Linked DNA regions of Nothobranchius furzeri. The protein of the gene in region 1 interacts with the protein of each later gene in a biochemical or structural test. Links are inferred from orthologs where the notes say so. Each region holds a gene or a part of one and is shown on either strand. Other genes may lie near its edges.

What was found.
Region 2: the proteins of glrx5 (region 1) and bola3 form a complex in vitro, tested with the Homo sapiens proteins (4 studies listed by BioGRID and IntAct, with this or other methods). The link is inferred for Nothobranchius furzeri from reciprocal best matches to the Homo sapiens genes GLRX5 and BOLA3.

Annotation. Positions count from the first base shown.
Region 1 is NC_091742.1:17,910,909-17,914,533, reverse strand, and holds glrx5 (glutaredoxin-related protein 5, mitochondrial), read left to right. Parts: upstream 1-1,365; 5' UTR 1,366-1,493; coding exon 1,494-1,791; intron 1,792-2,634; coding exon 2,635-2,807; 3' UTR 2,808-3,112; downstream 3,113-3,625. Other genes in the region: prkrip1 (PRKR-interacting protein 1 homolog), read right to left, coding at 522-1,103.
Region 2 is NC_091749.1:58,110,963-58,115,125, forward strand, and holds bola3 (bolA-like protein 3), read right to left. Parts: upstream 2,647-4,163; 5' UTR 2,576-2,646; coding exon 2,465-2,575; intron 2,371-2,464; coding exon 2,265-2,370; intron 1,948-2,264; coding exon 1,859-1,947; intron 1,028-1,858; coding exon 962-1,027; 3' UTR 524-961; downstream 1-523. UniProt on the Homo sapiens protein: Acts as a mitochondrial iron-sulfur (Fe-S) cluster assembly factor that facilitates (Fe-S) cluster insertion into a subset of mitochondrial proteins. Probably acts together with NFU1.

The DNA.
Region 1 (3,625 bases):
TACCTGCCTCAAGAAAGATGAGAGCCACTGATCAGGGTCATCACCACCGTGGAAAGCAGGAGACTGTCCAAGGAACATCGCACATGAAGCTCCAGATCCTCCAGAAGCCATGCCTTTTAATCCCTGGAGTTGCTTTCTGCAGCCTTTTGGAGCCCACAGGTGACGAGTTTCACCAGGAGCAGAGACAAGGCTGCAAAACCCCCAAATATAGACACTTATTTACTGCTCAGACATGCAAAGTAAATGTTTTAAACCCAATAAAAATGGAACTCTGCACAAAACTTTTTTTCTTATTTTATTAAAAATATGGTAATCGGATTTAAAATAAAGAAAAGCTGAGCACATGTTTAGTTTAGATGCAAACATCAAGTCTTTGTACAAAGTGAATCCAAACAGATTTAATGATCTGTGTAGAAACGTCAGAGTCCAAACATGCCTGAGATCTCCATCCCCTTCCCTTTTACATGACATATATGATGTTGCTTCTCTGAGGCTTCACACACAAAACATGGCTGATGGATTCATTTCCTCCCCATGATGAAGCTGGGAACCTCGGCATCATCATCTCCCTCTTCCTCTTCTTTCTCCTCCTTCTTGTCCTCCTCGCTGCTCTCGGAGTTCTCCTCTGCCTCCTGCTGGTTTTTCTCCTCCTGTTTAGCCTTCTTCGCCAACAGTTTCTTCTGCTTCAGCTTTTCCCGCTTGTTCCTCCGCTTCGCCGTCCGCTCCTCTGCCGCCTTCTTGTTTAGCTCCACTTTTTGGAGGTACTCCTTGTCCTTGTCTTGCTTCGCGGCAACTTTATCCAGGAAGTCCTGCCTCTGGTACTCTCTGCGGCGGAGGTGCCGATAGACATGGAACTCCCCGCTGCCTGCGCCGGCGCTGGAGCCCATGACATCCCGGACGAACTCCGGCGGAGCCCGCGGGTTCCACTCCTTGGCTCGGTCCGGGATGGGAGCAGGCTTGTCGGGGTTTCGCATCAACCGCTCCAACTTTAAACGCTGTTCATCTGCCGGAGTTTTAGCTATTATTAGAGGCTGCGCCTCTTTTCCTCCAGGTTTTCCTCCGGGCTTCCCTGGCTTGTTATTTTTCTGCGTGTAGGCCGCCATCTTTGAAAATTTCTTCTTCGGCTGCTTCCGTTTCGTACAACTCACCCCGGAAGTACTTCACGACTTCGAAAGGAATTTTTGAAAAAATAAAAAAGTATGACAAGTATAACAATTACTAGTTATTTAGGTCGTAGTAAGGCTGTAATGAAAACATTAATCAATATTTAGAAAGTAATTTGCGCAACTGACGTTGAGTTTTTTTGATTGACATTTGAATAAACCAATAGTAAAGCATATTCGATTTCAGCCAAGCTCAGTTGTCCAATCAGCATCCAGATCCCGCCTCCTAAGCGTATGTGTTGACGGACGACTTTCTCTATTGCCTCTGAGCTGAACTTGTCCGTTTACTCGCCTTTAGTTTTGCTCGACGAACGACAAAACTCATAAAAGATGAACAGTTTAATTAGATCTACTGCCAGGTGTCTCCGCTCGGGCGCGGCGGTCTGTGTGCCTAGGCAAGCGGATGGACGCGTGTGGTCGGCCTCGGTCAGGTTTCTGTGCGCGGCGGCGGACCTCCAGAAGGACCTTGGTGAAATGGTGAAGAAGGACAAAGTGGTGGTGTTTATCAAAGGGACGCCAGCCCAGCCCATGTGTGGCTTCAGCAACGCGGTGGTTCAGATCCTCCGGATGCACGGAGTGGACAACTATGCTGCTTACAACGTTCTGGAGGACCAGGACCTACGAGAAGGTCGGTACAGGGGCAACAGGTTCTCCTGATACCCTCTTTAACGATTTAATCAGTGTCCTCGTTAGCTTTAGCCTTTCATTTACCAGGTCAGTTGCTGTCTTATTCAAACTAACCACACCTCTGAGATGTTTATCCTTTTATCAGAGGCATGCAGCAGGACACACGGGGTGTGGTGAACCACCACTCACATCTCAGACTCTAGGCTCTAACCAGCTCATTTATTGTGCTTTAAATCTCATATTTGCGATTAATGAATGATTCTACTTTTTCAGGAGCGTTTTTGCTCAGCATCATAACTGAGTAGATATGTCCAGATATACACCAATTCTGGTTTTTAGGGCTAATACTGATGTCTTGCTGTTCATCTCTGGCCCAAGTACAAACTTTGATATGGACTGTTTGCGACGAGTAAGCACTTCTAAATGTACAAACTGAACAACTCTAACAGAACATGCTCTATATTGTCCGGTTGTGAACTGAATTCAGATTTTTTTTTTCTGGGTACTTCTTTAAAGTTTTAATGTGCATCGTCGGTGTGTTTTGCCCTTGTTCTGCCAACTTTACATGCAATGACTTTTTCTAACGCAAGGCAACTGTTAGGCTTCAGAGGGTAAATAAAGGTTTGTTATGCGGAAGACAAAATATAAGCAGGCTCTCAGAGGGGAATATATAATATTCATATTTTTAAATATTCCAAAATGGGCTCTAATAACCTCAGAGAACATAACCTCCAGTTTTGTTAGTAACTAGTACATCTCCCTTCACTTGTGAGTACAGAAATCTACCAGATGTCCACCTTTACAGCATAGGAGCAAACCAATGATCTCTCTTCTCTAACACTAGGGGTCAAAGTCTTCTCCAACTGGCCCACTATCCCCCAGGTTTACTTCAACGGTGAGTTTGTGGGAGGCTGTGACATCCTGCTGCAGATGCACCAGAACGGAGACCTGGTGGATGAGCTGAAGAAGCTCGGCATCCGCTCGGCGCTGCTGGACGCGGAGAAGGAATCCAAGTAAAACTCCAAACGGCTGAGAGGACAGAGGACACAGTCATCACTGCCAGCTAAACTGATCATTACAAATAAACTGGCTCTGAAGATTAATGACCTGCAACTCAGCTGGTCAGTCAACGAGACAACGCAAGAATGCTGTTTCACAAGATCCGACAGCTGAGGGCTTTAATCCAAGGTCTGGGAACAGACTTCCCAGGAATTTCAGAATTCCTAACACATTTGTGCTGCTAGTTTGGGATACACAGAACCCCTAAACGCAATAATCCCATCCCGTACATGAATCTGTGTTTAAATAAATCATGGTTTTTATTTGTAATAGTTTAAAGACAGCTCATCAGCCCTCACGTTGTCCTCTGAAATCTCTGCTGTTAGACATTTTCATGAATCAGTTAAGAAAGAAAAGAAATGAGCCTCTGACTGACTGGGTCACCTAAAGCTGCCTGGACCGCACGACTGATGTCAGCTCACTTGAAACCTTCCAGATGCACTGCCTGTAGCCCGTTAGCACACAGAGCAAACGGGCCTAGGAAAGGTCTAATCACACAGTTTCTAACTGAACTACTTGCTCTTTTTGCTAAAGGTTAACATCCAGAATGTTAGGTTTTATGTTTGCCGTCACCGACCGAGGAGACGTGCCAGACCAACACGGATTCCTTCCTCCTGACTCACTTTCTGCCCAGAGGCAGTTAGCTAGTTCGATCCAAGTCCAAACTTTGTTCTTCTCCCTAAAGGAAAAGTGGTGTTATATTTTACTTTTGAGTGTTCTTAAAGATGTTCCACCTACTGCTGAGTTTATTAAACATGTAGAACACTGTAAGATAT
Region 2 (4,163 bases), on another chromosome or scaffold:
GTGACAAACGGAAGCTATGTCCAACTCTCACCGACTGAGCCCGACTTACAATGCAGACCAAGCTCTGACACCGGTCATACAGGGACCTAACAACTCGTATCAGAGTACCTGGTAACCCATACTAATGGAGTACCCCCCCACAGGGCCCCCTGACGGACGCGGTCAAACGCCTTCTCCAAATCCACAAAACACATGTTGATTGGTTGGGCGAACTCCCATGCACGCACCCTCCAAGACCCCCAAGGGTATAGAGCTGGTCCAGTGCTCCACGGTCAGGATGAAAACCACCTTGTTCCTCCTGAATCCGAGGTTCGACAATCCAATGAACCCTCCACTCCAGAACCCTGAATAGACCTTACCAGGGAGGCTCAGGAGTGTGATCCCCCTGTAGTTGGAACACATCCAGCAGTCCTCCTTTTTAAATAGAGGGACCACCACCCCGGTCTGCCAATCCAGTGGAACTGCCCCCGATGTCTATGCAATATTGCAGTCAACCTTCAACACTTAAATGACAAACACATAGTTTGTGCACACATGTTGGTATATTTTATAATAAAACAAACTGTGGTCACATTCTCAGGATGATAGCTTAAAGAATATGTCTGTAGCTGCTCATGATGATGGTGTCTTTTGCTGCTTTGACTGCTAGTTTAACACCAGCATCATTTCAATTAAACATAGGATTCCCAATGGGAACAAATCCTTCAAGCCTTAATATTGACCTTTGGACAAGTCACTTTTGTGCGTATATCAGCCTTGATCCAATAAAATTATCTCAGAATAGAAGATGTCTTATTATAACTATGTTGTTTAAAAAAGATAACTATACATGTATTTTACATTTTTAACTATCAATATGTTGTAACTGCAGGGAAACGGCATTCTGCCCGTCTAAGGCTTTACAATCTCATCAGATAAACATCAAAGAAAACGGTGCAGATAAATAGAGGAGGCAGTTTTTCTACTGTTTTGGGATGTCAGTGAATATTCGCAGGCCATGCATGCCTTGAATTTCATCCTTGAGTGCCTGTGAAGAACATAAGACAACAGTCAATTAAATCAAGAAGCAAATTATAATTCACCAACAGATGTGAAAATAATCTTAAAAATCTCACAAACTTTGATGGTAAAATACAAACAATTTGCAGCATGAGTGCATGTTTCATTATAAATTACTTTATGACAGCTTATAATATTGTAATAAATGAAAATATAGGCTTGTTTGTTTTGACCCAACAAGCATAACTGTTGCTAATAGAGACATCACCAAAAACTGGGGAGTCTGATTAACTTTAAAATTTTTATTTTTTTCCCCGTGTCCTGTCTGGCTGTGAAGCAAACAGAATTAATGTCTGAATGCTGGTGACAAGCCTTACAGATTTATAGGCTCGACACACGGGAGGCGACATCGCCTCTACTCCATTCATTTTCAATGAGACATGCGCGACAAAGCGATAATCACGGGTCTCCCTCGACATACATGTCAGGACCTGACCCCCAAGGCCCCGCCCAGATCCCCACATGAGGCCGGCCAGCTTTAAAAATGTTCATTTAAACTTTTATAATTTTGCTAGAAGTTCATTTGAAAAGAAAAGCCAATTATGCAATGTTATGTTTGCACAAAAAAAGGAAAAGCAATCACGTTAGGCTAGTAATAGTAATAATAATAATAATAATAATAATAATAATTCATAACTTTACATTTAAATAAATACAACGTTTTCTAGTATTGGCAAATTGTGTGGAGACACACACATCAGCTTTTTGGTGACTGGGTTGTGTAAGAAGAATACCCTGTGACTCATTGATTTTTACTTGCCATTATCTTGATGCTGTAACAGCAAGCCTGAATAGTTACCTGATTGACTAGCTGGTGCTGCTGCACTGTTCTTTTCCCTTTGAACTCACTGGATTCTACATGGATCTCATACATGGCCCCGCAGCCACCTAACACAAAATGATAGTCAGTTACTAAGAGTATGTAACCGCGTTATTGTACAAAAACTGGTAGGTTTTTTAATTACAATGAAATTTTTATGTATCTATCCATGCATCTATAGCAGTAATAAGCCAGCAACTGTGTTTAGTTCCTGAAATACACACGAAAACAAGAAAGGTTAGTAATTTATTCCGCTTCAACGCTTGAATAAGTATCTGTCATGTATAAATCTATGCTAAGTTTTATGTGTAACTGGTGTCAAATATAACTAATGTCATTCAGAACAACATATGACGATGCTAAACGTTTTAGCACAATGGATTACCTGATATATCCACAACTTTGAGCTTTGATGCTAAAGGAAACTTCTCCTTCAAGACTTCTGCGATGCGAACCTCTCCGTCTGTCTGAGTGGACAGACATCTCTGCATCTGAGCGGAAACCAGACATGAGAAAACAAATGAGATACACGAAGCTTCATGAACTCACCAAACTACAAAGTAGAACCAATTTAAAAATATGTACTCGGTTGTAGCGAAGAGCGGAGATTATTGTGCTGCTAGAGATGCGTTTAAAAGCCAACATTATGGAAATGGGGCGATAATTCGTGTTATTTACAAAGCCAACAGCAGTCATTCAAAAAGTCATGTCCTCAGACAACTTTTGTCTCTTAAAAATGACGTTTTCATTCTTCTTCTGAAAGATTAAGCTGCAGCTCTCTCCTTATAAACTGTATTGCTGCCATCTAGCGGCGTAAAAGGAAATATCAGATTGAAAAAGGAATAAACAGGCCAGCATAACATAATCAAATGGATAAAAGATAGCAAAAACTCTATCAAAACGTTAACTTTTTAAATTCTACACAAATAAGTGTTTTTTTCTCGGTAAAGACAAGCAAATAAAATCTGCAAAAAATGTGATGTTCACCTCTAATAATGCAAATAAAATAAAATAAAATAAACGTAGTTCATTTTATTTATACTGGACCAATTCACAACACTATACATTAAGCAATACATCCAGTTCATAATCATATTAGATTATACATGCTACATGTGGCTCAGTTAACTTCTTGAGTCCTGACCGTTTGTTTAGGGTGCATTTTTAATTTCCCCTTACTATGTGGGATCAGCAATTTCATAAACTTGAACCAAACATAACAAACACACAAAACAGGAAGCAAACCGGTAAATAAAATTTTAAAAAGGAAAATGTATTTATATACTACTCGTCGTCATCGTCGTCTTCCTCCGCTTAACCGGTCCGGGTCGCGGGGGCAGCATCCCAACTAGGGAACTCCAGACCTTCCTGTCTCCAGCCACCTCCACCAGTTCCTCCGGCAGGACCCCAAGGCGTTCCCGGACCAGATTGGAGATGTAACGTCTCCAACGTGTCCTGGGTCGACCCGGGGGCCTCCTGCCGGCAGGACATGCCCGAAACATCTCCCCTGACCAGATGCCCAAACCACCTCAACTGACTCCTTTCGATCCGGAGGAGCAGCGGTTCTACTCCAAGTCCCTCCCAAATGTCCGAGCTCCTCACCCTATCTCTAAGGCTGAGCCCGGCCACCCTACGGAGGAAACTCATTATGGCTGCTTTAATTCACAATCTCGTTCTTTCGGTCATTACCCAAAGCTCATTACCATAGGTGAGGATTGGGACGTAGATCGACCGGTAAATCGAGAGCCTGGCTTTCTGGCTCAGCTCCCTCTTCACCATGACAGATCGGCTCAGCGTCCGCATCACTGCAGATGCTGAACCAATCCGCCTGTCGATCTCCCGATCCCTCCTACCCTCACTCGTGAACAAGACCCCGAGATACTTAAACTCCTCCACTTGAGGTAGGACATCTCTCCCGATCCGGAGTTGGCAAGCCACCCTTTCCCGGTCGGGAACCATGGTCTCAGATTTGGAGGTGCTGATCCTCATTCCAGCCGCTTCACACTCGGCCGCGAACCTACCCAGCAAGAGCTGAAGGTCAGAGCTGGATGAAGATAGGAGGACCACATAATCTGCAAAAAGCAGAGACGAGATTCTCCTGCCACCAAACTCGACACACTCCACACCACGGTTGCGCCTAGAAATTCTGTCCAGAAAGGTAATGAACAGAACCGGTGACAAAGGGCAGCCCTGGCGGAGTCCAACCCTCACCGGGAACAGGTCCAACTTACTACCGGCTATGCGGACCAAACTCACGCTCCTCTGGTAAAGGGACTGGATGGCC